Linked DNA regions of Macaca mulatta. The protein of the gene in region 5 interacts with the protein of the main gene of each other region in a pairwise test. Links are inferred from orthologs where the notes say so. Each region holds a gene or a part of one and is shown on either strand. Other genes may lie near its edges. The genes, in order: ZFYVE9, CSRNP1, SPRED1, TPRN, PPP1CA, LMTK2 and PPP1R15B.

Region 1 (4,276 bases), on a different chromosome or scaffold from region 5:
CCTCAATGGATTGGATCATGTCTGGTCACATTGGGGAGGGCAATCTGTTTTATTCAGTACACTGATTCAAATGCTAATCTCATCCAGAAACACCCTCACAGACATACCCAGAAATAGTATTTAATTTGAGTACCCCATGTCTCAGTCAAGTTGATATATAAAATTATCTGTTGTATTATTGGACTTGCCTCACAATATTGAAAAACTGTATATATGATTTGACCTTGAATCTATAGAGTTAATTTTGTTTAAGAAAATCTTTAATTAGCTAGATATTAGAGGGGTGGTTACTTTACTTTCTTTCTCATTTTGACCTTGGTTTGTATTTTTATACTTTCATACTTCTGATATGACTTAGTCCTTTATTTAATAGATATAAATCTGTTTCTTAGTGTCAGTAGCTCTTCTCATTTAGAGTATATCATAGCATGCATATTTTTCTAGTTCTCAAGACAGGGAAATCTTTTACCAGTGATTTTCATTCTTTATTCTTTATTGGGTCTTGGAAACTTGAATTTTAGGTCTTTTTCTTATTCTCTTATTTTTTATTAAGCACATCATTTTCACGTCTGATAATAGAATATTTGTAATGTCAGGAAATTTTTCTTGCTGCCTCAGTTTATCTTTAACACAGTTTATCTGTGTTCATTAAATTATCTCCAATATACTTACCTGTTCTGAAAATACTATGATTATGTGTTAGATATTTTATACTGATAATATAATATTCATAGTCTTAGTTTTATTCTGATTAGCTTCAACTACTAATCTTGTTCAAGGCTAAATTAGGCCCTTAAAGAATTTTACATTGTCTCTAAGCAGTTATAGTTGGGCTACCATAACTTAATGGATATTGTCATATTTTCACAAGAGGGTAGTAATATTTGAAGAGCCTTTGTCTTTTGCATACACCCCTGATAGGGAAGGTTAATATTGGGTTAATAGATCCATTGCTTCTAAGCAGTTGGAGGAGGACTGGAATGAAGAGACTCCATTTGGAGAAAAAAATAGTTTGGCAGTAAAAATCACAACAAGAAACTTGTGAAACTCAACTTAAGAATTCTGTATGTATTGAAAAAAAATCGCGCTAGAAGGACATTCTTGTGAAGCAGCAGTTTTCTTAGCTTTGGATTCTTGGAGGGCCCATTATAAGGCAAATTATATACTTATGAATTAACACAATTGAAGTCATTGGGTAGAAAGTGCCTGCTGTTGATGTTTCACTTTGCATTATCCATTGAAAATAAACGTGCAAAAACTCTTCTTTGTTGAAACATTTAACTTTTGGCCTTTTCAGACAATAAAATGTCTCTGTTGCTGCCTTGCATGCAAGCCAGGTCTTTGAATCCAAAGGTATAATTGTATTTACTGTTCAAGCCCCATTGCTTTTGTTTGTCTGGCTATGATAGATTTATATGAAGAAAATTAGGGTTTATTGTTTCATCAAGTGTAATGAGCAATGTGTTTTTCATTTAGGATCAAACAGAGCATACTGAATCAGCAGGACTGGCTGGTGGTGCAGCAAGCATGAGTAAGCACCGAGAAGTCTGTTCCTTATCACGTGTGTAAGGGGAAAAAGGTAAGAAAATGTTTTTATTTCTCTTAGAGATTGAACTTGAGAAACCAATGAGATCTATAGAAGATAATACTGATGCATATATGTTATTTGCTTCATTTGTAACATTGTATCTTATTAAATCAGGAGTATGATTTTCTTCAAAAAGATTTGACTTAAATTCAGAGGAAAAGGGTATTTAAAAATCACTGTTATTTTATGTCACAGTGGTCACAATGTTAATTTCCCTACCAGTGCTGGCTCCTTCGTTTTAGAGTTAGTTGAGTATAGAAAGGTAATTTCAGAAAAAAATATGACTTTGAGCAATATTTTAGCTCATGCAAGAGCTAAACAAGTAAAGCTGATTTGGGGATGGGGAATCAGAAATGTAAAGTTAATTACATTATTTTATTTTGTATTTTTAGATAAGTTATTATGTAGAGCAATAATTTCCAGCAGAAAATTGGAAGTATTCTTGTAGAGCAGGAACCCTTGACTTTTTCCTAACTAGGAGTCATGTTGTTTTTTTTCAAGTCTTAAGATTATTTAAGGGTGTGAACCCCCAGTATCTGTGTTGGAAACAAGTGCTTGGTGTAGCCAAAAGAAACCTGCACTTAAGACAGAAATTTTCTCAGCAAGGCACTTTTACTTCTGCAGAAGGGTGCTGTTCACTCCTGTTACAAATGCAGGAGCACACCGAACAAAGGAAGGAAGGAAGGGGCTTTTAACCCTAACACAGTTCCTGTTTCTGTGTCTTTCCCCTATTGACTGGAGTTGGACTGCATAATCTAAGCTGATCCTCACTGGCTAAGGCTTAAACTTTTCCAAATAAGGTAAATGTGTGATTTGTGAAGGGGCAGGGTGGGTAAAGAAGAAATGGTTAGGCTTAACAGAAGAGGGGGTAGGATTGTTTACAACTTATGACCAGGAAGTTGAGTCTTTGAAGAGGAACTCAGTTGTACCAACAATCTCCCCTCTTCTGTCTTATAGTTCTTCATCTTCAAGTTTCTTTAACAGGATCTGGCTATGTTGTTCTTCTTGATTATCTAGGTGCAAGAGCTTATCTGAGTACAGAGGGGGAGAGGTTGGGGAGGTTTTTGTGAGAGCTGCTTCTGTGAGCCTTTGGGTTAACCCACAAATACAGGGTATGATACAGCAACCCACAAGGATGAGTACACCTCTAACAATTGCAAGGAAGGTAAAGATTGAGGTCATGAGTCCTTTCCATTTTCCAGACCACCTTTCCATTAGTCCTGTAAAGGGGTCGTCTATTCCAGAGTTTTCGGCTAGTTCATTTGCTAGGATGGTAAGGCCTTGTAAGGCTTTTATGATTGTCCCGTCGGGGGCTGTATTATTAGGAATAAAATAAAACACTGGACCCTGATCATGACATAGACTTCACCTTTTTTGGCCAACACCATGTCAAGGGTTATTCTATTTTCCCAGGCCATCTGGCTGGTGGGGTCTAATTTCAGCAATTCCTTTTATGGCATCTCTGGTATAATTGATGAATTGCTGCTGATTGTAGTATATGTAATGTATCCAGTCTACATTTTTGTTTATAGTGGACTACCAGAATAATATAGACTCGAACCTGGTGGGTATTTGGTTTTGAGCTTTGAATTCATTTGGTACCCTCTGCAGGACCCCGATGCTGTCTATGTAAACTTGGGGGTCAAAGGACCCATTTATTGGGGCTTCTTTTTTTCTTCTGGTTACCTGCTTCCTGATGAAATGCCAAGGTGAAAGGGATGGCCAATTGGATCAGAGCACAAGTGCCACTCCAGTTGCTTGGCAGTGTTCCAAATATTGGTCCCCCTCTATACCACTATACATCCACTTGGGGATGGACTGGGGCTGACTGATTGGTTAGCTCTTGAAAAGGTTTAGGTCCACTGCATCCCATCAGGTTTCCAAGGAATGTCAAATTTTCCCCTTGTTGTAAGAGACACAAGGTAAAATTGGCATTGAGAGCAGGAAGTCGAATGTCCCTTGGGGGCTGTCCCATAGGGCTCCTGACTTTTGGGAAAAGTAGTGAAAGAGTGGCACATGACTTGTTTCCCCAGGCTGTGAGGTGCTGGAAGAGAGCTACCATACAGTCTTTGCCTGATGGGTTGGCCCATCTGAGTGGGAGGGGAACAATTTGGGTTTCTGGCCTGCCTGTTGCACAAGCGTAACAATCGGTTTTATTTAGGGTGTGAATGGAATATTTAATCCATTCCAGCTAGGCATTTACATCTTGATAACCGGTTTCTATGGCTAGGGTTTGCTGTAAATCCTTTACTTCTACTATAGCTACTTTGGTTTTGTCATTAGACATGAAGCGAGAAATGGTTTGATTTTTGTGGTTTTGGGAAGTGAGTAATGGAGGGAGATGGAGGAGGAGGAGCAAACCTCATTTCAAAGATGCCTGTAGGGTCTTTTGCAGTGACATCCGCTCCTAGGCCATAAAGGCGCTCTAAAGTGGGGATACGGTCGGTGGAGGTGGGGATAGGAATAGAGAGAAGTACTGGGTTGCACTGGTGGTTTTGGCAATTTGAGGGGGTGGTTCCTTTGGTGAAGTGGAGGTAGGGTTTTAGGGTGGTGCAACCCTCTAAGGAGGTCCAGCCCTGATATTTGGTGGTCAAGATAACATCTCCTCAACTATAACATAACCCCTTAAAGGCTTGTGGTCGTCGATTGCAAGGGTCCGGGGTGATACTGGTTTTTCTGCGGGTGGAG
Region 2 (4,296 bases), on a different chromosome or scaffold from region 5:
GGTTTTGTAGGCCCCAAGGAGTTGAGACTTCATCAGGAGGGTACTGAGAAGCCACTGGAAGCTTGGCTCCAGCTGCCCAGACACCTCCCCCTGCAGGCCCCCAGGTACACACTCAACGCATCCGGAAGGACAGGGGCCTTTATCTTCCCCCAACCTGCTTTCCTCCTATTGTTCTTCCAGGAAAGGTAAAGTGGAGCAGACCCCTGCCATTCTACATACACATCTGAGGCTGAAGAGGGGCTCTCACCATCGTCTCCACCCCAGATACCATTCAAACAGGCCAGGAGGTCACCCCCACCCCCAACCTGGAGGAAGGTAGAATGGAATCCTGAGGGCTGGGCTAGTGGCTGACAGCATTCATCTAGGACAGTCAGAAGAACCCAGAATGCAGCGGGAGCAGGACTGGGAGGGGGAGGGTCAGGCTCCCACGAAGGCTCCCTGGAGGAGGCAGTGCAAGCTGAGCCCTTAAAAGCGTTGGGATTCTGGTAAGCAGAGAGAGGGCAGGAGAGCATTCCAGTCGAGAAGACCGGCTGCAGCAAAAGCGTGAGGGTGGAAACGCTCGAGGTGATGGGTAGACCCGTACCTGCGGTTGGGAAGTGGGGCTGAGGGTGGGCTCCCAGGCCAGGACTTGGTTGCCGGGGCAAGTCGTACCGGGAGGGTTGGCCCTGAGTCAGGAAAGGCCTTGGCGGGAGCAGAGAAGGCAGTGGGCCATTTTAAGTGGCCAAGATCTGGCCCGGAAGAAACCAGACTTTTTATTTTTTTAAGGGAAGGTTGAGGTGGGAGTGGGGAAGCTAGTTCCAAGAACCCCTAGTTTGGAACTTCTGCAGGGAAGGGTCTCTTGGCCCGTGGGCAGGGGTGATGTTCAGGCCCACTGATTACATCCATCCTTCCCGCTCCCCGCCTCCCTGCTCCCCACACACCCCAGATTCCTCTCCAGCCACAGTTTACTTTTCCGACGGATCTGGGGGTGGGTGGTAGGTTGGGGGCGGAGGAGGGAACGTTTAGATTCGAATATAATAAACTCCCTCTAGAGGGGTGGGGGTGGAGAGCGTACGGGAGACGTCGGCTGTGCCACTGTCTAGCCCCTGGCCTTGCTCCCGGCCTCAGTCTACCCATCTGTAAGCTGGGGCGGTGGGGCGAGGGGGGATCTCTACTCCCGGCTCTGCCAGCTTGAGTCGTCCGCGCCTTTAGGGACGGTGCTGGAAGCGGGGCGGGGAGGGCTCTGGCGGGAGAGGGCTGGGGGCGGAGAGCGGCGGAGGCGCAGTCGCCGGGTCAGAGTCCGCAGGGAGGCCCCCAGGCCGCTGCGCCAGGCTCCAGGCGGGGGAGGAGGCGGCGCCTCCGGGGCGGGGCTGCCGGGCGGCCTGGCTGGAGGCCCGGCGTGCGTCAGCGCAGTGAGCCCCGGAGTTTTCCACTGACGAGGAGGGCGGAGCGGCGGGCGGGGCTGGGCGCAGCCAGTCTCCCGCCGCCGCCGCCGCTGCCGGACGCGCAGAGCTAGGGGCGGCTGGACCGACGGCTGCCGGGCCGAGCGCACAGAGTCGCGGCGCTGGGGGCGTCCCCCGCCGGGACGCGGGTCGCGTCGTTTTCCTCCGCGAGCGTCCGGATTGCAGGTGAGCGCCGAAGGGCCTTGGGCCCGGCAGGACGGGACTTTGGGGAGGGGGCGTTCAGCGCGAGTGGCACTGCCGCTCCTGCCTCTTGCGGTTCTCTCCTCGGCACCCTGAGCGGGCGCGGGGGCGGGAGCTGCCCGGCTTTGACGGCGTGCCGCGGCCGGAGTCGGGGGCCCGGGGTCCGGCCAGCGGGAGTCGCAGGTTTTCTGCTCCCCTCCCCCGCCCGCCGCGGTAACCCCGAGAGAAGTCACGGCTCCCCGAGCTCTGCGCGAGTGGGGACAGAGCAGGGCTTGCGCGCGAGCGGCAAGGCGACGGGGGCGTGCGTCCGCGGGCGAGTTTCCTTTTGACCCAGTTGCCTGAGAACTTTTCAGAAGTTCCTCGCGTGGCCGGAGCAGGTGACATTTGTCGCCTTCCTCCTCGGGCTCCCCCCTCGGGGAGGCTGCGGGAGCTGCGGCGTGTGCCGGGCGCCCCCGGCCGGCGGGGGTCAGGGAGGGAGTGGAGGGATGAGCGAACAGGGAGGCGCGGTGAGTCACGGACCCCGGGAGGGAGGGAGGGAGGGATTGTGTCGTAGGCTCACCTGTTTGTCAGTCGCCGTCACTCTCAGAGGCCACTGCTGTGAGTCACGGGCGCAGCTACACCGGCCACCCGCAGGCACACGTAGACTCTCTCCCACGCACTTCTCCTCCTTCCGCAGCACGTATTTCCTCCCCTTCCTCAGTTTCTCCTCCCCGGGGCCCATTCACAGGCACGCACTGTGGAGATGCCCACACCACAGCCATAGTCACACACTTAGTCACTCCCGCTCCTGGCACAGTCACACACAGCCGTAGCCCACACTCCTGACACCAGAGAGTCCCTCCCCGTGTCCTGCTGCCCACCCAGCACCTCCACCCAGAAGTCTCAATCCTTTTGGAGAGTAACTCATCACCTCCCCCGACCCAAATCCTTGACAGCCCTGCCCTCTTCTTTCACCACATCCCAGTATCTGCCTTTCTCCTATGCCCTTGGCCTGTCCTCTCACCTGGCCCTGGCAGCACCTCCAACCGGTCACACCCCCTCCACTCCCGGTGCTGAGCCACGTTTTTAAAATGCAAATCTGGCATTGTCACTCCCTAGTTAAGCCCTCTGTGGCTTGCTGTGCCCTCAAGCTAAAGCCTGCCCTGGAGCCCAGGATCAGCCTCGCGGGCTGCCCCTCCTCCGATCACACTCTCCTGGTCCCTCCTCCTGTTCCTTACCCATGCGGAGTCCCTATCTGGAACTCTGCCTACTTTCCTTCCTCAAAGAGACCTACCTTCACCCCAGCCGTACCCTGTCCCACCCTTCAGACCCTCCATCCCAGCAACCCACTCTATTTGTCCTCCCTGCTCAACTCAGAGCTTCAAGAGGGCCGCAGTTGTGTAAGTCTTGCTCCCTGCATGCGCGAGTGCCTGCCACAGTGCTTGGCACGTATTTGTTGAGCTTGGTGCCTATTTGTTGAATGAATGAATGAATGAGAGAGGGAAGAAGGCCCGTCTTAGGTGGAGGAAGCAGTCATTGTCAGGTGCAATGTCCCTTCTGCAAGAACAAGTGCCTCATGTAGCCAGCATACATTTGGCACCTATCCAGTGCCAGGTCCTGAAGGCCAAAGCTGAGGAGCCATCCCCTCCCCCAGCTCTCCTTCAGAGGGATGCTTGGGGAGGAAGTGCCAAGGCTTTCGGTCTGTCCTCTCTGGGCCACCCAGGCTGGTTTTTCAGTGGGGACTAGAGGTGCTGGGAGGTGCCCTCCCCTTCTCCCAGGAAGTTGTTCCTGAGGGACAGGGGTCATGTGACCCCAAGTGTTTTGGGGGGACTGGCCAAGGCCTGGGGCTCAGAGGTTAAAGGACACATTCTTCAGATTCCTGAAGGGGGATGGAGGCAGCTAAAGGTGCCCCCTCCCTAAGACTGGCTTGGGCTGAGGCCTGGGGCACTGGTGGGACTGCCGAGGTGGACAGAGGAGTTGCTGTGACTTTTTCAAGCCCCGCCCCCACTTCTCGAAAACAGCCCTTGGTTGCTTGGTGCCCAGGGGTGAGGTGGCCTTTCCTGGATTCGCATAGTGTGACCTGAGTGTGTGGATAACCGTGGCCAGTTGAGTGGGGGGTTGTCAGTGCCTGTGTGTGGTGGCAGGAGGGCTGCCCAATTGTCAGGGCTCAGATCCCAGAAGAAGCCTGGCTCTCTGATTCAGGGCCTGTCTCTGGGGTTCCTCGGCGGTGAGGTATTTCTGTCCAAGCCAGCTCCTGGGAACTGCTTTTCCTTCCTCCAGGACCCTAGGGAGGGGGCTGTGCTCACCCTGGGAACACTGCCATGGTCAGAATCCTGATTCCTGGGTAGCTGCTGAGGGCCCCTCCCCCCACCTCTGACTCACTGTCTGACACTTAGATTCTCACTATCTTTCATTCCCTCTTGGCCTCTCCTTGTCTCTGGCTCAGTCTTTTTGTCTCATCTCCTGCCTCTGCCTCTTAGCCTCTGGATTCCCACGTGGAACAGAGGAACACGAGAACCAGGGGCACTTCCCCCGCCTCTCCAGAAGGAGTATCAGGGAGGAGGTAATTTCTCATTTCATTCCTGCGCTGCAGATTTGGAAGGGATTGTTCATCACTAGAACCTGCAGCATGACTGTAGCTTCCCTGTGTCTCTGTTTCCCTGTCTGTAGCTTGGAGGTCATAACCTCCTCACCT
Region 3 (4,039 bases), on a different chromosome or scaffold from region 5:
CATTAGTTCACCTATTAAAGATGAGATATAAATTACCATATTATAAGCTATATTCCAAATAAGTTCACTCTGTGGTTTATCTAATGCACAAGCAAACAAAATTGCTGGCTCTAGTAAAACTGATTATCAGAAGAACACATTATTTTCTAATATAATAGAGTTTTTTAAAGTAAAACCCCCAAGATTTTGTTCCCATGAAGAGTTAACCAAAATATTATGCTAAATATTATTATCGCCCTACCCAAACTTAAAAGTATTACAAAGCTCCTAGGGAATAATTTATTAATAAAGCAGGATAAATCTGTGAAAAAACGATTTTAAAAGTCTGGGTGAGTGAGGTAATTTCCAAGGTGTCCCATTCTAAGTACATTTGGATTTAAAAAAATATATTTAAAGCAACTCTCCCACTGAAGATTACCATTCGGTGTTTCAAATACCGACATCTTGGGGATTAAATCACTGGGAGTATTTTCTCAGTTTATTTTAACAGCAGTAGAATGCACTATCACTACACACACACAAAAAAATATGTGTTCTCACGTTATTTATGGCAAGTATTTAAAAAACGGCCATTTAGAAAAAATATATTTTACATGTGTGAATTCACATTCCATCATCTGCTTTTTTTATTAGCTGCAACAAGAAGGAAACAAGGAGCTATTAACTGCTTTAAGAAAAAAATTCAACTGGTAAGAAGTCTTTTCCCATCTCTAAAAGAAAACTTAACATTTTTGATCCAAACTATTTGTTTGAAAGATACCAATAAAAGTTACCGTCATTCCGTTCAGCGTTCTTAGCAGCTTTTCTCCTAAATAACCATTATCTGAAATAGACTTCTTGATCTCCCTCAAAGTAGATCTAATCTGCAGAAGGCAGGGAGACACTGTACTGCACTGTGAATGGACAGCCAGGTATTTTATGAATGGAGGCGATCACGTGATCCCAGCACCTCCCCGAACTGATATTTCCCACATAACTGTGTCAACATTCTCAGAACAGGGGTAGTTGTTTGTGTGTGTGTGTGTGTTTTTAAATTTAACCTAAAATTTCACGTTCTTCTTACCTTCTGAACTCTAAAATCTACACACAGACAAACAAGTCGCGAATTTTTTTTCCTGGGAAATCCTTTCAAGATGTCCAAGGTGATGGATGTTTAATTATTTTTTTTATGAATGAAGAGTGTGCTATGCAAATGAGGGCGATTCACAAAAAGAGAGAGAACATGGCTGCCACTTCTGCTTCTACACTGCACTGACACTGCAGCAGTGTACCTCCTTCTACGACCCGCTCAGCAGAAGCGTGTGTTTTGGGGTGGGGAGGGAGTAAGGGGGGAGGAAATGTTGCTTGGCCTTTCTCTAGCTATTTTACGTTAAACAGGACTCGGCACTAGACTTTATAAAGTTCTTTCGAAAACGTCTGACTTTAGTAATGCACTGTATTTAAAGGCATGCATCCAAAGGACTAAGTCCTAACTCACTTAACTCTTTCCAACCCTCCAAAGATAAACAAAAGTTGAACCTAATTACAAGAAAACGGATGCTAACATTCCGCTTGGAATTAAATCCCTTCTCAATAGAAAAGTGTTGCCAACCATTATTTCTCCATGCAGCTGTTAACGTTAAAGCAAAACATTTAAAAGACGAAGTATTTCGTTTGGAAAGCAAGGAGAAAGCCCAAATAAGCAAAAACTTAAACCAGAATGCTCTAAAAGTTGATGAAATCACCAACATATTCAGCAATGTAAATTCGGTTAAATCAACGTAAATCATGTGTTTTCACATAGCTGAAAGGTAAAAATTAGCGTTCAAAATTCTCCTCCGTTCCTAATGAAGACACGTTCAATGTTCACAAAGGTAAACTCTAGCTCAACATCTCCCACACTCCAGGTGTCCTTAATCCTATTAAATTCTAAAAATGTTTCCCTAACCCTATTTTTTACAAGAATCTTATAGGTCATAAGTTTAAAAGGGGGAGGGGGGAGAGAGTGAAGGCTTAATCGGTATTTAAGAGTCACTGACTCATCGAATTAAGATTCAAGAGCAGTTTGCTGCAGGAGGTGCTCCCACACATTAGTTTCCAAGTGAAACAGCTATAAAGGAAGCAGGATAGATATTGACGGTAGGGTGACTGATATGTGAGTGAAAATGGACGGGACAGGGCTCTAACAGGCAAAGGGGTAGTTTCTGCTCCACTTCCATCCACCCACATTATTCCATCTCATGGACGTACAATTGCCATCCTCTCCCAACACTTAATAGCCTTCCCCAAAATAAAGCAACTAAATGTGGGAGGGTGGGGAGGGGTGCTGCCACTAAAAATGGCCAAAGAAATCAGCTATCTCCAGAAGATGCACCGAACTCCCCAGGGTCGCAAGCTTTCCGGCACCCAAGTCTCGGATGGGCCCGGGGGAGAGCCGAGGGCGGATTGGGGGAGGGGGATTAGCAATCGAGATCAATGAGGCGCTTACTCGTTGTCAGAAGTCGCCGTCTCCTCGCTCATCTTTCCCTCACCGTGATCCGATCTGGAGATGGAGGAGCAACAGCAGGCGGGGGAGCAGCAGCAGCACCGAGGGGCAGGAGGCAGCGGCGGCCGGGGGGGCGCGGGGGCAGCGGCACAGGGGCCTCACCATGGTGGATGCCTCACCCAGAACGGTGCCCCCCCAGCCGGGAACCCCGGCCACCCCCACAGGGGGGTGGCGGCAGCAACCTCCGCCGTGGCGACCCCAGCCTCTTCCCCCCGCCTCAGTGCCCAGCCAAGGGATCCGAGGAGGCCCGGTGGAAAGGGAAAAACAGAGGGGCTGCAAAGGCTGACTGGAGAGCAGCTCCTCCAGCCACTGGGGTGGAGCGCAGCGGGGTCCGGCCAGGAAGGAGCCGGCGGGCGGAGAACTCGGGAGCAGAGGCGGCGCTTCCCTCAGGGATGCGGCGAGGAGGAAGCAGAGCTCCGCTCGGTGGGGGCCGGCGGGGGGGTGCCGAGCCCAGGCTCCGGGCAGCGGCGGCGCGGTCCTGCCGGAGCCCACCCCACCATCTCCCGCCTCGCCGCTGGCTGCCCCTCAACCCTCGGCGGCGCCTGGGTCGGTCCTCAGGCGCGGGCAGAGCCGGGCTAGGGGCCCCGCGGCGGCAGATTCCTCCAGACACGCTCCAGCCGGGACTCCTCCTCAGGGGGAAGGAGGGGGCGGCGGGGAGCGTGTGAGGCGAGGGGCAGGCGAGCCGATCGCTCCCACCCGGCCGGAGAAGAGCGGGCGGGCCCGGGTCCGGGGGGCAGGATCCCGAGAAGCGGCGGGAGAGGACAAGAGCGGCCGCAGGTTCCCCACCAGCCGGTGCCCACCAACAGCTCAGCGGGCCAGCTCCTCACGCCCGAGAGAGGGGAGCCGCGAGGGGGGCGGCGGAAGCGCTCACGCCGCCCGCTCCTTCCGCCGCCGCCGCCGCCGCTGCCCGAACCAGGGGCGCCCGCGAGAGAAGGAGGCGAAGTAGTCCCTCGCGACTTCTCCCGGCCGCTCGCTTCCCCCGGAGGCCAGAGCGGGCGCGGGGTGGGGCTGCCTAGCGGGGTGTCCGGGCTGTGAGGGTGTGTGGGTAGGACTAAAAGCCGCGGCCTCCGGGCGAATCACTGCAACTCGAAGTCGTTTGCAGCATAGCAAGTTTCAGGAAAGTAGTTCCCTCCTCCCTTCATTTCCCAAATCGTTGTCGAGCCACTTAGCGGGGAAAGGGGGAGGGAGGCGGAGGGATACCGCCCTGCACCGTGCTCGGTGTGCGTGCGCGCGCTCCAAACTCTTGGCACGCCGCGAAAGGGGGCGGGGGTGGAAGCTGCGAAGGGAGCTGCTAGGGAGGTTGCATTGTTGTGGCGCTTTACTCCCCGTTACTCTGCTTGGAATATCCGGGTTGCTTGAACGAAGAGGCTAGAAGGACAGTGTGGCTCAGAGGGGAAATCTGGAGGCTACTCTCTTCTGCCGTGTGTTTGTGTATGTTTTCCTCGCAGAGCAAAGAATGGAACTGGCATGAGTTCATCTTTAGTTAGTGGGGGTTAGAAGCAGGGACTGTGCAAA
Region 4 (3,500 bases), on a different chromosome or scaffold from region 5:
CTCCTGTGGCCGGGGCTTCCCGTTGGCCTGACTGAAGTTCTGGCCCTGCAGGGCCTCTGGCTTCCTCTTGGGCACCACTGTGAAGGTGTTGCTGCCCCGGGGCTGAAGCTCTGCCACGCACCCGGGTCTGGCAGGACGCAGGGAGCAGGGTAGTTTGGCTTCTTGGGGGGCCTCCTCCCAGTCTACCTCATCGATGAAGGTGACAGGCAGCCCTGGCTTCCCGTATTCCCGGCTACTCTTGTCCAAGCCAGGAACCCTGAGGCCCTCAGCAGGCTCAGCTTCTTCTGCAGCAGCCGGCAGGAAGGGGGGTGGTGAGGACGGCCTCTGCCACCTGATGGCCCGGTCAGTGAGGGCGGTGGCTGTCCTGGGACAGGCCCCCTCCTCGACTGCCCACTGTGCCTCGACCTCCACGGGGCTCTTCCCTTGGGCAGGCGCACCATCCCCTCCAGGCACCGGCTGGGATCCGAGCTCCTGGCTCGGGGAGGCCGGGCCCACGTCTCCCTTTGGCAGCTCCACGGACTGCGCCCCCTCAGGAGGAGGGGCCCCGGAGGCCTTGCTCTTGGGAATGAACATGAAGGAATTTCGAGAGTTTGCGCGGAGGCTGGCCAGCGCCCGGGCCTGGAGGTCCCCCGAGGGGATGGTCTCCATATCTGGCTTGGGGGCCGGCCGAATCTCGAAGGAGTCGTTGGCGCTGGTGGCTGCGGAGACGCACTGGCGCTGGCTAGGAGTGGCACTGGCAGGGGGCGAGGCTGGAGTGGCACTCGGGGTCCCGGGGCTGGGGGGCGGGTGGAGGGAGGGATCCCCCGACTCCACCTTTGGCTTCCACTGTCCTGACCCAGGCGGGGAGCCCGCGAGGCGGTTGGCAGGGCCGGCCCGGGGCTCCGGGACCAAGGGCCCGTTGGAGAGCAGGTGGGCGTCCGCACCGCGATGCAGACCCCGGGGGTGAACGGTGAAGGAGTTGCTGCCGGTCTTCTGGAGGAAGTCGCTGCGGCGGGCCCCGGGGCTCGCCCCTCCACCGCGGGGCCCGGGCGCGACGGGCGGGCTGGGGACGGCGGGCGGGAGCCGGGGCTGCGCGGGCGGCGGCGGCGGCGGCGGCGGGGGCGGGGGGCGGGCGCGCTCGGGGCTCTCGCGGCGGCGCGGCGCAGCGGGCGGGTCGAACCTCTCCAGCAGGCGGCTGACGCGGCCGGGCGGCGCCCCGTACACCAGCACCTCGGCGGCGCGGATCTGCGCGGCCCCTGGGGCGGGCGGGGAGGGCGGCGCGGGCGGGAAGCCGGGCACCGTCTCGATGATAAGGACGCTGTCGGCGCGGAGGGCGCGCACGCCGGGCACGCGGCGGTACCGCTCCAGCAGCCGCGCCCCCGCCGCGCCCCCGCCCCGCCGCCGCTCGGCCTCCAGCCGCATGAACGGGTTCTCGCGCAGCGGGCCCAGGCTCTCGGCCAGCACCCGCTGCTCGGGCTCCGCCGCCCCGGGCCCCGCGCCCCCGCCCAGCGCGGCCAGTTTGGCCCGCTTCCGCTCCAGGATCTCGCGCTTCCAGGCGGGCACCGCAGCGCGCGGCCCCGAGCCCGGCCGCCCCAGGGCGGCCATGCTTCGAACGCGGCCGCGGACGGCTGGACTGAGGGCCGGAGTGGCCGCCGCCGTCGCGGCAGACCTGGGCGCCGCGGCCACGCCCCCTCCCGGGCCACCGACCATTGGGGGGAAGCCCGCTCTCCCCGCCCCGCGCGGGACGCCCACCTATGGCAGGAGAGGAGGGCGGGCCCCTCAGGTGACCCTACCGATTGGACAACACTCTCCTCAACCCCGCCTCCCAAGGGACTTCATTGGACAACGCCTATCACCGGAGCCGGCCTCCATTGGGAAGGCCCCTCGGACACACCCAGGCGCCTCGCGCCGCTCACTGGCGGACCCCACTTCCGCCCCTGCGCTGTCGCCTCCCGGCGTCCCTGCGGGGAGCTGGGTGGGCGGCCCCTGGGCCCCGCGCCTCGAGTGACCTTGGCTGAGCTTGGGACTTCCTCACGCTGCCAGCACCGAGGCCGCCTGTTCCATCCGCTGAGGGTGCAGGAAGGGGGCTGCTCCAAGACCGAAGGCACCCGCGCCCATGGACGGTGCACAGGCCACACTCTGGCCCGGACCCTGCTTTCACCAGGGGCCCTCCGACCTCCGGCAGGTGCCTGCGGGGCTTCGAAATGCCAATTCTGGAGCCCTGAGCAGCCCCAACGAACCAGTTTCTCAGAAATCGCTAGTTTTTATAGGCTGCCCAGGTGGGAGCCTCTTACCCCAACCTTTCCATCCGTGGTCCCCACAAAGCATGTGCAGGAGCAGGCACAAAGGAAGCAGCCTCTCCCGCCACACGCAAGCAGGCTCACCAGGGCAGGGCCCTGTATGCTTGGACAGTTCTCCAATGCATTAAGAGCCAAAAAAAAAAAAAAAAAAAAAAAGCCAGGGTAACGGTGGGCCCCATAGGGCCGACCCCTGCGTCTTATCACTCCACCCTGCCGCCACGTTAAGGCTACTCCTCTCCCATCGGTTGAACTTCCCCCCATTCAGGCTCCAGATGCCATGACCCTGAGGGCACAGCCTCCAGGCCGACAAGTCCCTTCTGTCCCAGGGAGGGCTTCGGAGTGCTTCCACAGTCTTTCAAGCCTGCAGATAATAGGGAGATCGCTTGGAGCCATGGGGAGAAGGGGAATTGGAGTGCGGACATCACCGTTCCATCACCTGCCCTGCAGTCAGCAGCCTGCTCAGTAGACACTGCTGCTTCCCACACCACTTGCCTGTCAGGGACAGTGCTCCAGGGTCACCTGGGTCTCTGCGAAGACACAGAACAGGTTTTTCTTTTTTTAACTTGGGGATGCCCTCCTCAGCTTCTGTGCCCCATGACAGTCTGCAGCAGCCGCTAGCTTAATGCTGCCTTATTCTCCTGCCACTCCATTAAGCTGGAGAAAATAATTTTTTTTTTTTTTTTTTGAGATGGAGTCTTGCTCTTGTCACCCAGGCTGGAGTGCAGTGGCAGGATCTCGGCTCACTGCAACCTCCGCCTCCCGGATTCAAGTGATTCTCCTGCCTTAGCCTCCCAAGTATCTGGGGTTACAGGCACCTGCCACAACGCCCAGCTCATTTTTGTATTTTTAGTAGAGCCAGGGTTCTGCCATGTTGGCCAGACTGATCTCGAACTCCTGGCCTCGTGATCCGCCTGCCTTGGCCTCCCAAAGTGCTGAGATTACAGGCGTGAGCCACCGCGCCCGGCCAGAATTTCATTTCAGCCTTCCAGAAGCCAAGTGTCTCCTCCCATAGGGCCCTCCTCAAATCGCCTTTCCAAAGGAAGCATCCAATGTTCATCACTTCTACCCTAATAGGGTTGCCCAATTCTGAACTACCAAAATAAAACAGGGGAACACACAAAACACAAAATCTAGAAATAAATAACATCACGAGGAAACTCACTCCCACTGTTCAGCTTGAATCTGGCTTTGACAAAAGTTATGCCGACCCCAGGCTTGACA
Region 5 (3,945 bases):
GGTAAAAGAGACGCCACGGTCGTTCTCGCCCCAGCCCTGCACGTCCTTGTCAGGGTCAGACCACAGCAGGTCACACAGCAGGCCCTGGTCAGGCACGTCTGTGGGCCGCATGATCCGCCGAATCTGCTCCATGGACTGCAGGTCCGGGGAGAGGCCTGGAGGGCCAGAAGGAAGGTCACTTCCTCAAACAAGGACATCCTTCCTCCAGGAAGCCTTGGCCAGTGAGCCTCACCTTTTCCACCACCCTCCTGGTCCCTCCACTGGTCTCCTGGGTGCCTAGGCAGGCAGAAGCCATCCCCTTCCCCTCAGCTTTTTCAAGTTCCCAAACAGGCACAAAGGCGCCCCTGGCCTCCGGAGCACAGAGCTCCTGGGAGAAAGGAGACAAGCCCGCCCCATGTAGGATGCACATCAAGGAAGTGAGTGCAGCCCAGCACAGGGGGGTATGGGAGACACTTCCTGAAAGGAGTGACTTCCCAGATGACAACTAAGGAGAGCTCACCTCCGTGGCAGCAAAAGATCTTTTCGTCCACTATGGCCGCAATGGGCAGGCAGTTGAAGCAGTCAGTGAACGTTTTCCACAGTTTGATGTTGTAGCGTCTCTTGCCTGCCCAGAGGGAGGTAGCTGTGAGGGGTCTGCCTGCTCCACCCTTAGCCGGGGTCTCTGGGCTATTCAGCCGCAGATGGGAGAGAGTCAGGCACCAATGCAAACCACCCCCACCCCTGCCGCCTGTCAGCCTTCCAGGAGTAATTCTAGTTACTTTTTATTTTAATTTGTAATTTAAACAAACAGGATCTGGGCAGGGCATGGTGGCTCACACCTGTAATCCCAGCACTTTGGGAGGCTGAAGCAGGCAGATCACCTGAGGTCAGAAGTTCAAGACCAGCCTGACCAACATGGAGAAACCCTGTCTCTACTAAAATACAAAAAAATTAGCCAGGCGTGGTGTCGCATGCCTGTAATCCCAGCTACTCGGGAGGCTGAGGCAGGAGAATCGCTTGAACCCGGGAGATGGAGGTTGTAGTGAACTGAGATCACACCACTGCACTCCAGCCTGGGCAACAAGAGCGAAACTCCGTCTCAAAAAAGTAAAGAAACAGGGTCTTGTTCAGTCACCCAGGCTGGAGTGCAGTGGCAAGATCATAGCTCACTGTAACTTGGAGCTTCTGAGTCCAAGTGATCTTCCCGCCTCAGCCTCCCACCAGAAGTAATTCTAAAGCACCCGAGTCCACTGGAAACTGAGTTCCAATCTGGACCAGCCTCAGGGTTGGCACTCCTTGCACGCCCCGGCCCACGAGCCGGGCCAAGTACAGGTCTGGTTTATCTCAGCTTCTGGACAGCAGAGCTCATCTGCAAACATCCTAAATGCTTAGTAGCAAATGTAGAGGGAACGTCACCAGGCAGGGCCCTGGGGGAAAGCACTAGAATACGGACAGTCCTTCAGTCAGCAACCATTCCCCAGACCCCATGCCAGGAGGGGCAGGGCAGGCACAAGAACGGACCTGGGCCCTGCCTTCGTGGAGTGCACAGTCTAGCAAGTGTCTGTCAGATATCAGGCCAATGTGAAGGTCCCACTGAATGACAAGGAGTGTGGTTCAGGACCCGGGCAGCCCCAGACGCTCAGACCACTCACACTCATCGTAGAAACCGTAGATGCGGTTGATGCTGGCGCACTCGTGGTTCCCACGGAGCAGGAAGAAGTTCTCGGGGTACTTGATCTTATAGGCCAGCAGCAGGCAGATGGTCTCCAAGGACTGCTTGCCCCTGTCCACATAGTCCCCCAGAAAGAGGTAGTTGCTCTCCGGAGGGAAACCGCCATACTCAAATAGTCGCAGAAGGTCATAGTACTGGCCGTGTATATCACCTGTGACCCAGGGAATCGGGTAAGCTAGATGCAGGGTCTAGACCTGAACCCAGGACCAGGACTGGGCTCAAGGGAGGAGGACTCCAGGAACTCTGTGGGGGCCAGTGCCACTTTCAGGAAAGCAAGGGGACCTGGGTCGGGGGGCTCACCGCAGATCTTGAGGGGTGCCTCCAGCTCCAGAAGAATGGGCTGGCTCAGGAAAATCTCCCGGGATTTCAGGCACAGGCCGCGGATCTCGTTCTCTGTCAGCTGTACATTCTTGCCAGGCCGCGAGCCCTGCACTGGGGGCGCAATGGGGTGTCAAGACCCGGGACCCTGACAGGTGGAGGGTGGGCGACACGGGTGGCCCCATGGATACCTCCGGGGGCGCCTAGGCCTCCTCGGCCGCTCCTTGCCCGCAGGCAGCTGTTGCTGCTGAGCCTCCCGGGACCTCGGCCTCAAGCCTCCCAAGGGAAGCCCCCAACTACCCTCAGCGCCTCGGGAGGCGACTGTCGTGCGCAGGGGGCTGCCACCCAAACACCTCACAGCGCAGGACCCCTTCCTGGACCGGGCTTCCCGGGTTTCTCCCTCGCCTCAAGAACCCAGGCAACCCGTGCGCCCCCGGCCCGGGAGAGGGGGCTGCTCCGCGCGTCGGAGCGGGCCCAGGACCTCTCAGGCGCGTCCGCGGGGGGGCGGCTGCGGCCACCGAACCTCGCGGCCCGTCCCCGCCCAGTCTAAGCTGGCCCCGGGGGCCCGCCCGCGCGCCACTTCCGGGCCCGGCAGGGGGCCCGGGAGCGGCGGACGCAGGCCTCCCCCGCCGCGACCAACCTTCTAGCAGGCGCCCGATGATCGAGTCAAGGTTGAGCTTCTCGCTATCGGACATGGCGGCGCCGCCGCTCCAGCCCAGCAGCTCCGGGCCCGCTCCTGCCTCCCGCCCTCCGGCAGCCTCCTTCCGGCCTGGCTCTCCTTCCGCCCGCCCCAGTCCGCCCCCGGCCCGCGGCCCCGCCTCCGGGCCTCCCGGGCCCGCCCCGCCCGGTCCCCCGCGCTCTAGCGCCCCCGCTGGACGTGAAGCGCCGCGGCCTGGGGGGCGGGGCCTTGGCGGCGGGGTCTGTCGGGGGCGCGTCCAACTGGTTACGCCCCAGAGGAGGCGCCCAGCCCGGTTCAGAGGATGTGGGGCCGGAAGAACTGTGGAAGTTGTTTTTCTCTTTCAAAAGCAGAACAGCCGTTCCCACCCCTGCCCTGGGTGGAGGGTGTTGTGAATATATTAATAACCGGCTGCTAGGCACTGAGGGTTAACTGCTCGAAGTGCAGGAAAGGAAACTGAGGCTCAAGAGATATGAACAGACTGGTGCAAGACCTGGACCTCGCATTCACGTACGACCCCCTTTTTCGTGGGTCTCCGTGGCCCCCAGGCGGCTGACCACACTCAAAGACAGCTACGGCTGAACTTCCAGCGCACTTTGGTCCTTGGGGCATGATAAATTAATATTTTCTTACAAGTCCCATAATTAGCTTTTATTTATTTATTTTTTTTGAGACAGAGTTTTGCTCTGTCGCCTAAGCTGGAGTGCAGTGGCGCGACTTTGGCTCACTGCAACATTCGCTTCCCAGGTTCAAGGGGTTCTCCTGCCTCAGCCTCTGGAGTAGCTGGGATTGCAGGCGCGCGCCACTGCGCCTGGTTTTTGTGTGTTTAGCAGAGGTGGGGTTTCGCCATATTGGCCCGGCTGGTCTTGAACTCCTAACCTCAAGTGATCCACTGGCCTCGACCTCCCAAAGTCCTGGGGGGGTTACAGGCGTGAGCCAACAAGCCTGGCCCCATAATTAGCTTTTGAGTAGCACAGTAATATTGCAGGGTGTGCACGTAAAAAGAATTACTATATGAGCAGACATGGCTGGGTGCAGTGGCTCACGCCTGTAATTCCAGCGCTTTGGGAGGCTGAGGTGGGAGGATCGTTTGAGGTCAGGAGTTCAAGACCAGCCTGGCCAACATGGTGAAACCCCATCTCTCTAAAAATACAAAAAGTTAGCTGGGCATGATGGCAGCCGCCTGTAATCTCAGCTATTGGGGAGGCTGAGGCAGGAGAATCACTTGAACCTGGGAGGC
Region 6 (3,500 bases), on a different chromosome or scaffold from region 5:
GGAAGCTAAAGGAGGATAACCATCATCATGAAAAAACACAAAAGTATCAAACTCACAATACACAAGGTAGAGCAGATACACAAGGGAGAAAGAAAAAGGAAGAAAACCTCCTCACTCATGTGGAAGTTAAAAAGGTTGATCTCATAGAAGTAGAGAGTAGAAGAGTGGTTACTTGAGGCTGGGAAGGGGAGGGAGGGGAGGAATAGTGAGAGGCTGGCTAACAAACACAAAATTTCAGCTGGACAGAAGGAGTAAGATCTAGTGTTCTGCAGCACTGAAGGGTGACTATAATTAACAACAAATTTTTGTATATTTTCTTTTTTTTTATTTTTATTTTTTGAGACGGACTCTCGCTCTGTCGCCCAGGCTGGAGTGCAGTGGCCAGATCTCAGCTCACTGCAAACTCTGCCTCCCAGGTTTATGCCATTCTACTGCCTCAGTCTCCCGAGTAGCTTGGACTACAGGCACCCGCCACCTCGCCCAGCTAGATTTTTGTATTTTTTTAGTAGAGACAGGGTTTCACCGTGTTAGCCAGGATGGTCTCGATCTCCTGACCTCGTGATCCACCCACCTCAGCCTCTCAAAGTGCTGGGATTACAGGCTTGAGCCACCGCGCCCGGCCAAATTTTTGAATATTTTCAAACAACTAGAAGAGCAGCTTTTGAATGTTCCCCAAAACAAAAAAAAATGACACGCTTGAGGTGAAGGGGATACTAGTTACCCTGATTTGATCATCACACACTGTATATAGGTATCAAAATATTACACTAGGCCAGGTGCGGTGGCTCACACCTGTAATCCCAATACTTTGGGAGGCCGAGGCAGGCGGATCACCTGAGGTCAGGAGTTCGAGACCAGCCTGGCCAGCATGGCGAAACCCCATCTTTACTAAAAATACAAAAATTAGCCAGGTGTGGTACATATCGGTAATCCCAAATACTCGGGAGGCTGAGGCACAAGAATTACTTGAACCAGGGAGGCGGACATTGCAGTGAGCCATGAGCCGAGACTGTACCACTGTACTCCAGCCAGGGCAACAGTGAGACTCTAAAAAAAATACATATATATATATATATATATATATATATATCACTGTACCCCATAAATATGTCCAATTACACTCGTCAATGAAAAAAATAATAAAAGCAAAAAATATTGTTTTAAAGAAATCCAAAAGAAGGCAAGAAGAGGGAAAAAAACCCCAAAAATCAAAAAGCAGGACAACAGCACATACAACATAGCTATAAATTAAGAAGGCTGTGACAGAAATTGTTAGTCAAAGTTTTAGGTGCATCTTCTTAGCTTCCGTTAAACAGACTCCTATAAATCATAGTATAAACATGACAGTTCACACCCCTTTCAGTTTTTTCTTTCACTTCAATAAATACGTATTAAATATCTATTATATATCAGGTCCTGTGGGAGGCACAGAACATGAAACGACTTGGTTCCTGCTTTTATAAAGGAAAATGGGTAGCAGAGGCAGTATTCAAAACGTTAACTACATCACTACAATTGTGATAATTGCTATTATGTTTCTTAAACTGTCATTTTCACACCATCAGGCACTCTTTTGTTCCTGCATCTTATACAACTACTTTCCTTTAAGAAAGTACTCAAAGAGGAAGAAGTTAGGACTTTGTTAAAGAAATGCCTAATAAAACGGTAAGCCAATACATACCAGATATTACTATACTTAGTCTGATCTGCAGTGAGCAGTCTGTCTTGAAAGCTGGTTACTAATTCTGGAGCAGTCCATCGCAGAGGGAAAACTTTTTTATCATCTGTTTCAATATAATCCTCCTGTTTTGTTAGAAAGCACACAGAATTTTGAATAGAATTATACTTTTGGTGAGTTCAAGAATTTAAATCCATGGTATTCTCAGAAAACATATACCCAGTCCAAAAAAACCAGGTCAGAAAAAAAAGCAGGCATGAAGAGCGACTTTCTGGGCGGAAAGTGGGTAAGGAGTTTCTCTGAAGCCTCCTGGGCTTCATGGGCTCATCTGCAAGCCATGAACACTTGCTAAGTCATCTTTCCTGGAAAAGGAAAGTACGCTGTGTCTGATGCATATAACATAGACTTTGAGCAAAACATTAAAACAATATATACTGGGCCTTATGTGCTGAATAGTGAAACCAGTTAGTAAGACTGCAGCCTTTAGACTCTGACAGGGATCTGAAGTCCTCATTCTACCATTTAACAGCTATGGGATTCTAGGCAAGCAACAACTTTGTGAAGTGTTTTCCGGATCAGTGAAATGAGGAAAACCCACTCTTTGTGGTGAGGATTAAATGAGATGATGTAGGCCAGGCGCGGTGGCTCATGCCTGTAATCTCAGCACTTTGGAAGGCCGAGGCAGGTGGATCACAAGGTCAGGAGTTCGAGACCAGCCTGGCCAACAGGGTGAAACCCCATCTCTACTAAAAATACAAAAATCAGCCGGGCATGGTGGAGGGAGCCTGTAGTCCCAACTACTCGGAAGGCTAAGGCAGGAGAATCGCTTGAACCCAGGAGGTGGAGGTTTCAGTGAGCCGAGATCACGCCACTGTACTCCAGCCTAGGTGACAGAGCGAGACTCCATCTCAGAAAAAGAAAAAAAGAGATGATGCAGGATGCAGGCAGGTGCTGCTAAGTGCCTGGCATCTAACAAGTGCTTGAGACACTAGAGCTACTATGTAGACAAATAACCAACTTCTATTTGCATAATATTCTTTGAAAATATTACCCATTTGGTCCTCACAAGAACTCCGAAAAATAGAACAGATCTTATCCATATGTTGCTGCTTAGAAAGTGGTGGTCAAGGCTGGGTGGGGTGACTCACACCTGTAATCCTAGTACTCTGGGAGGCTGAGACAGGCAAGTTGCTTGAGCCCAGGAGTTTGAGAACAGCCTGGGCAATATAGCAAGACTCCATTAAAAAAAAAAAAAAAAAGAAAAGAAAATAAAATGGAGGTCAAGTGGCTTCTCTGAGGTCTCCTGACAGCCCAGAGCTGGGACAGTCCCATTCTCTGCCCCACAGCGCTCTACCTCATTCACTGGGGCTACACAAACACACACAAATGGAAACTTCATTGACTTCTTCACTTTTTTCCTTTAGGATATATTTGTGACAGAGTTAAAAAAAAAACCTAAATTCCCAGGTTACTGAATGTGAGCTGAAATTTTACTGACCATGTAATGGAGAAACATTTATATGATATGTATATTTTATCATTAACAGGTAATAATTACTGTTGCTCATGTGTTCACTCCAAAATTTATTATGCACCATCAGACTACATCATTTATAAATATTTTTAGGCTGGGCGCGGTGGCTCACTCCTGTAATCCCAGCACTTTGAGAGGCCAAGGCAGGCAGATCACAAGGTCAGGAGATCAAGACCATCCCGGCTAACATGGTGACACCCCATCTTGGCCGGGCGCGGTAGCTCATGCCTGTAATCCCAGCACTTTTAGAGGCCGAGACGGGCAGATCACGAGGTCAGGAGATCAAGA
Region 7 (4,236 bases), on a different chromosome or scaffold from region 5:
TCATCCCTTTGGGTTGTAATGGACAGGAATGAAGACACTCTTGTTATGTGCAAACAAAATATTAAGTATTTGCAAACAACATACATTTAAAATCAGTTTAAAACTCTATGGCTGTAACAGGACCTTTTCAATCTCTAGAAAAATTAAATCGTGTATACACAAAGTTTAATAGTCCGTTAAAAAGTGTGAAAAGTTGAAGCTTGTAAAGAAACAGTCCAGAACTACCAACCCAAAGAAAAATGGCACTTTCCTGCTAACATCTACACGCTGGTATGTTCGTTGTGGACAGCAAAAATGTGCATGGGGGTGGGGAGTCAGGGAGAGGAGAAGGGTCATTTACATATTTCTCAATGCAAGTATACGAATTTAGAGGTCTTCCTCAAAAACACATGCACTCCTAAGCCTCCAAAGTCATGCTGCTATATTTAACCATATCAAAACAGTCAGAACATATCAGGCATGTTAAAAGATAAGAAACAAACCTTTCTTCTTTTGACATGTGTCTGTCTTCCTCCAGATAGAACGTCACGCAGTACCGAGTCTGGACATTCACTTTCTTGGCTCCCCAACAGCTGCACCTTACAAGAAAGTAAGGTGTGACACTCAGAAATGGCCACAATGGACTCTGATGGGGTCTTTGAGTCACGACAGCCTTTCCCATTTTCCCCTGATGTTTGAAAAGGAGCCTTAAAATTTAAAGGGTTGTAAGGGTCATCAGAATTACAGAAAGAGTTCCACAGTTTGAGACTCTCTGCTTCATCTGCACTAGATTCCCAGTCATCTTCCTCCCCAGAACTATGCTCAGGGGTCTCAGGAAGGCTTCCAGACTGGGAGGAATTCTCTAGATCAGACTCGCCAGACAAATCCTTCTCTGAATCAGAAGGCTCTTCAGGAACAATTCTGGCAGCAGTCTGAATTGTGGCTGTAAAGTTCTGGGGATTATAAGGATCTACACTGTAGAAAGAGTTCCAAAGGTGAAGCCCTTCAGGGTCTTGCTCAAGGTCTGAGTCTGACAGTGAGCTATCACTATCAAAACCATCATCCTCAGCTTCCTCATCCCAATCCTCACCTTCTGGATCAGAACTTGTTTCCAGGTCACTGGATGCACCTCCCAAAATATAATCTATCAGTTTGTTACTACAAGCTGGTCTGGCAGAAATGGGAAGGTCATCTTTTAGGTATGAGTAATCTACTACACTTATTCGGCCCTCTCCAGGCTCCTTTTCCATAGGTATCTCACAAGATGGACAGCTCTCAGAAGGGCTCTGTTCTTCCAAAGCAAGTGGAACTTCTGCAGTTAATAATTCTATTTTTTCTTCAGTGGATTCCTGGGTGGTTCCAGGAATGTCTTCAGCAGCAGGAACAAACTGTGTTGGGTTATCTCTGCAGTGTTTCGGATCCATCCGGAGAAGGTTGTGTTCCTCCTCCAGGCTGTGGTAGCCATTATCCTGGTCAGGGGTGGGTAACTCTTGCCCCTTGCTAGCCTGCTGAAGGAATTCCAGTCGTTTCATGCGAAGATGGTGAATTTCTGGTAGGCCTTCTGTAGAAAGAGGTGGACATCCCTGCCACGAGGCCGGGGTGAGTTCTGCACTCAGCGGCTGGGGATGACAAGGGTCCTCTCTCAGGCAGCTGCTCTCTGCGGTTAGTGTCTGCAAGCCGACTAGCTCGCCATTTCCATCACTGTTCTGATAGCTGACTTCTAGCCTAGGAAAGCAGTCCAGGTAGGAGGGGCTCAGCAAATAGGATACCACATTAAAAGTGTCTATGCGTTGAATGTTTAGAGGCCCAGAGAGCGAAGAGCCAAGTTCCCGGTCAGAGTACAGACGGGATTGAAGGCTACAGGGCAACAGCTCCACTCCCCCTAGCTGCTGCTCTAAGAGAAAAGCGTGTGCTGCAGGGTCCAAAGCACTTCCCTTGGCCTTAAGCTCCAATTCTAAGTCTGGGGGCGAACACTGCCAGTGGATCCCCTCCTCTAGCCAATTAAGGGGACTGGTGGCCGAGGAGTCTGAGGAGTCGAGCTTCAGCGAACTCAAAGATTTCTGCGCTGTGGAGGCGGCTGGTTTCTCCCGTCTCTTCAGGGATCTGTAGACTCCAGCAAAATTTAGCCATCTGGTCGGAAACATTCCACCGAAAAGTTGGCTCCAAATTAGCACCTTCTGAAGCAATCCGGGGAGCGGCGCAAGGAGCTGGGAGAGCAGCTTCGTCCAGTAGCTGACCCGAGTCTCGGGCTGGGCGGAGGAAAGCAGTGTGGGGTCCCCGAAGTTTTCCGGCGCAAGAGGCGTCGGGAACTTAGAAGAGCCTGCTTGCGATCGCCGAGGGAAAAAGGGTGGCCAGAACCGGAAGCCCGCCCGAGGGCCAGGCCGTTTCCGCGATCCGCCTGTCTCAGGCTCCATCTCCTTTTCCTTGGCAGTTTCTCGGGTAGGGCCGCGGCGCTCAGCGGCTGGAGGTCGGACGGGATTCGGAGGAAACCTACAGAGTCTCGGCCTTGCCCAGCGGTGGCGTCGGTGCTCCAGGCCGATCTCCGAGCCAGCAGAAAAGCCACAGAGGGCAGCGGATGCGGCAGCGGGCGGCAGAACACAGGGAGAAACACCCCGCGCAATACGCGGCAGCTGATGCGACTTCCATCCTGGAGGGAAAGGACGTTCCCTAGTCGGCTCGACGCTTCAATACCATCGATAGGAGCCTGCCCACGGCCTCGGCGGTGGTTTTCTGAGTGACAGAAGGTTGAAGAACCCCTGAGCAACGCGACACCGGAAGGACTAGGTAGGTTGACTGGTGCGGTGGAAGCGAAGCCCAAAATGGCCGCAGGGCCCGCGCGCCGGCAGGACACCCCCCAGCCGCCGGAAGAGACGCAGGACTGCTGGGCGTCTACGCCACTAGCGCCGCGCCGCCCAACGTCTCTCGCAAAGCCCTGGGGGGGTGGGGCTTTCCGCCCACTTCCGTGTGGCCGCCGATTGGTCGCGCCTGGTTTCCCTGTCGGCTTCCTTACTCGAGGTAGAGCCGCACGGTAGCGGGAGGTTGCATCAGCCGGCGGGATGCACGCATGCGCAGTTGTTTCTGTGTGGTCTCTTAGGCGACCGCCCCAACAGCCCTCTAGGCTAAAGGGCTTGGGTAGGAAAGGGGTTTTCAAGATAACCCGAGAATTTCCCGGAGGCGTTTTGATGGCCTAATACACACTAACGTGTGTACAGTCATCGCCTCGTATTAAATGGGGATTAGTTCCAGGACGCCGTAGACACCAGAATCCGCAGATTCTGGTCAAGTCCCTTATGTAAAATGGTGTAGTGTTTGCATATAACCTACGTACACCTTCCCAGATACTTTAAATCATCCCCTAGATTAAGTAAATTACCTAATACAATGAAAGTGCTATGGAACTAGTTGTTATGTTGTATTTATTTGTATTATGTTTTATTGTCTTTATTTTTCCCGAATATTTTCAATCCATGGAAAGTTGAATGCCCCGTGGGCCAATTATAGGGTTATCGTAGTCTTAAATTTGTATTGTTTGTTTGTTTGAGACAGGGTCTGGCTGTGTCGCCCAGGCTGGAATGCAGTGGTGCGATCTCGGCTCACTGCAGCCTCAACCTCCTGTGCTCCAGTGAGCCTCCCACCTCAGCCTCCTGAGGAGCTGGGATTACAAGCTCGCACCACCACGCCCAATTTTTTTTTTTTTTTTTTTTTTTTTTTTTTTTTTTTGAGACGGAGTCCCACTCTGTCGCCAGGCTGGAGTGCAGTGGCGCTATCTCCCCGGGTTCAAGCAATTCTGCCTCAGCCTCCCGAGTAGCTTGTACTACAGGTGCGTGCCACCACGCCCAGTAATTTTTTTGTATTTTTGGCAGAGACAGGGTTTCACGATGTTGGCTAGGATGGTCTCGATCTCCTGACCTTATGATCTGCCCACCTCAGCCCCCCAAAGTGCTGAGATTACAGGCGTGAGCCACTGCGCTCAGCCAATGTTTGCATATTTTTGTGGAGACAGGGTTTCGTTGTGTTGCCCACGTTGGTTTCAAACTCGGCTCAAGTTATCTGTCCGCCTGGGCCTCCTAAAATGCTGGGGTTACAGGCGTGAGCCACCGCGCCCAGCCTGACAGGTATTTCAGGGTTCTCGTATTGTTGAGTACTATGTAGACCATCAACCTGAGATCTTATGTAAAAGGTGGGCAGTGCTGCGTAAATACATGTCTGGTATGGGGCAAACTAAACTCACAGAGAAGCAGCTCAGTTCCCAGAACT

What was found.
Region 1: the proteins of PPP1CA (region 5) and ZFYVE9 interact in binary tests that used the Homo sapiens proteins (3 or more experiments, as listed by UniProt). The link is inferred for Macaca mulatta from reciprocal best matches to the Homo sapiens genes PPP1CA and ZFYVE9.
Region 2: the proteins of PPP1CA (region 5) and CSRNP1 interact in binary tests that used the Homo sapiens proteins (3 or more experiments, as listed by UniProt). The link is inferred for Macaca mulatta from reciprocal best matches to the Homo sapiens genes PPP1CA and CSRNP1.
Region 3: the proteins of PPP1CA (region 5) and SPRED1 interact in binary tests that used the Homo sapiens proteins (3 or more experiments, as listed by UniProt). The link is inferred for Macaca mulatta from reciprocal best matches to the Homo sapiens genes PPP1CA and SPRED1.
Region 4: the proteins of PPP1CA (region 5) and TPRN interact in binary tests that used the Homo sapiens proteins (3 or more experiments, as listed by UniProt). The link is inferred for Macaca mulatta from reciprocal best matches to the Homo sapiens genes PPP1CA and TPRN.
Region 6: the proteins of PPP1CA (region 5) and LMTK2 interact in a two-hybrid assay, tested with the Homo sapiens proteins (2 studies listed by BioGRID and IntAct, with this or other methods). The link is inferred for Macaca mulatta from reciprocal best matches to the Homo sapiens genes PPP1CA and LMTK2.
Region 7: the proteins of PPP1CA (region 5) and PPP1R15B interact in binary tests that used the Homo sapiens proteins (3 or more experiments, as listed by UniProt). The link is inferred for Macaca mulatta from reciprocal best matches to the Homo sapiens genes PPP1CA and PPP1R15B.

Annotation. Positions count from the first base shown.
Region 1 is NC_133406.1:188,440,105-188,444,380, reverse strand, and holds the start of ZFYVE9 (zinc finger FYVE domain-containing protein 9), read left to right. Parts: upstream 1-1,476; 5' UTR 1,477-1,579; intron 1,580-4,276. UniProt on the Homo sapiens protein: Early endosomal protein that functions to recruit SMAD2/SMAD3 to intracellular membranes and to the TGF-beta receptor.
Region 2 is NC_133407.1:101,454,037-101,458,332, reverse strand, and holds the start of CSRNP1 (cysteine/serine-rich nuclear protein 1), read left to right. Parts: upstream 1-1,496; 5' UTR 1,497-1,607; intron 1,608-4,296. UniProt on the Homo sapiens protein: Binds to the consensus sequence 5'-AGAGTG-3' and has transcriptional activator activity. May have a tumor-suppressor function. May play a role in apoptosis.
Region 3 is NC_133412.1:15,562,169-15,566,207, reverse strand, and holds the start of SPRED1 (sprouty-related, EVH1 domain-containing protein 1), read right to left. Parts: upstream 2,801-4,039; 5' UTR 2,500-2,800; coding exon 2,468-2,499; intron 895-2,467; exon of another isoform or gene 774-894; intron 1-773. UniProt on the Homo sapiens protein: Tyrosine kinase substrate that inhibits growth-factor-mediated activation of MAP kinase. Negatively regulates hematopoiesis of bone marrow.
Region 4 is NC_133420.1:5,252,974-5,256,473, reverse strand, and holds part of TPRN (taperin), read right to left. Parts: intron 2,807-3,500; 5' UTR 1,690-2,806; coding exon 1-1,689. UniProt on the Homo sapiens protein: Essential for hearing. Required for maintenance of stereocilia on both inner and outer hair cells. Necessary for the integrity of the stereociliary rootlet.
Region 5 is NC_133419.1:6,982,226-6,986,170, reverse strand, and holds the start of PPP1CA (serine/threonine-protein phosphatase PP1-alpha catalytic subunit), read right to left. Parts: upstream 2,801-3,945; 5' UTR 2,725-2,800; coding exon 2,670-2,724; intron 2,144-2,669; coding exon 2,012-2,143; intron 1,863-2,011; coding exon 1,632-1,862; intron 605-1,631; coding exon 500-604; intron 156-499; coding exon 1-155. UniProt on the Homo sapiens protein: Protein phosphatase that associates with over 200 regulatory proteins to form highly specific holoenzymes which dephosphorylate hundreds of biological targets.
Region 6 is NC_133408.1:45,374,957-45,378,456, reverse strand, and holds part of LMTK2 (serine/threonine-protein kinase LMTK2), read right to left. Parts: intron 1,804-3,500; coding exon 1,682-1,803; intron 1-1,681. UniProt on the Homo sapiens protein: Phosphorylates PPP1C, phosphorylase b and CFTR.
Region 7 is NC_133406.1:62,155,183-62,159,418, forward strand, and holds the start of PPP1R15B (protein phosphatase 1 regulatory subunit 15B), read right to left. Parts: upstream 2,801-4,236; 5' UTR 2,394-2,800; coding exon 483-2,393; intron 1-482. UniProt on the Homo sapiens protein: Maintains low levels of EIF2S1 phosphorylation in unstressed cells by promoting its dephosphorylation by PP1.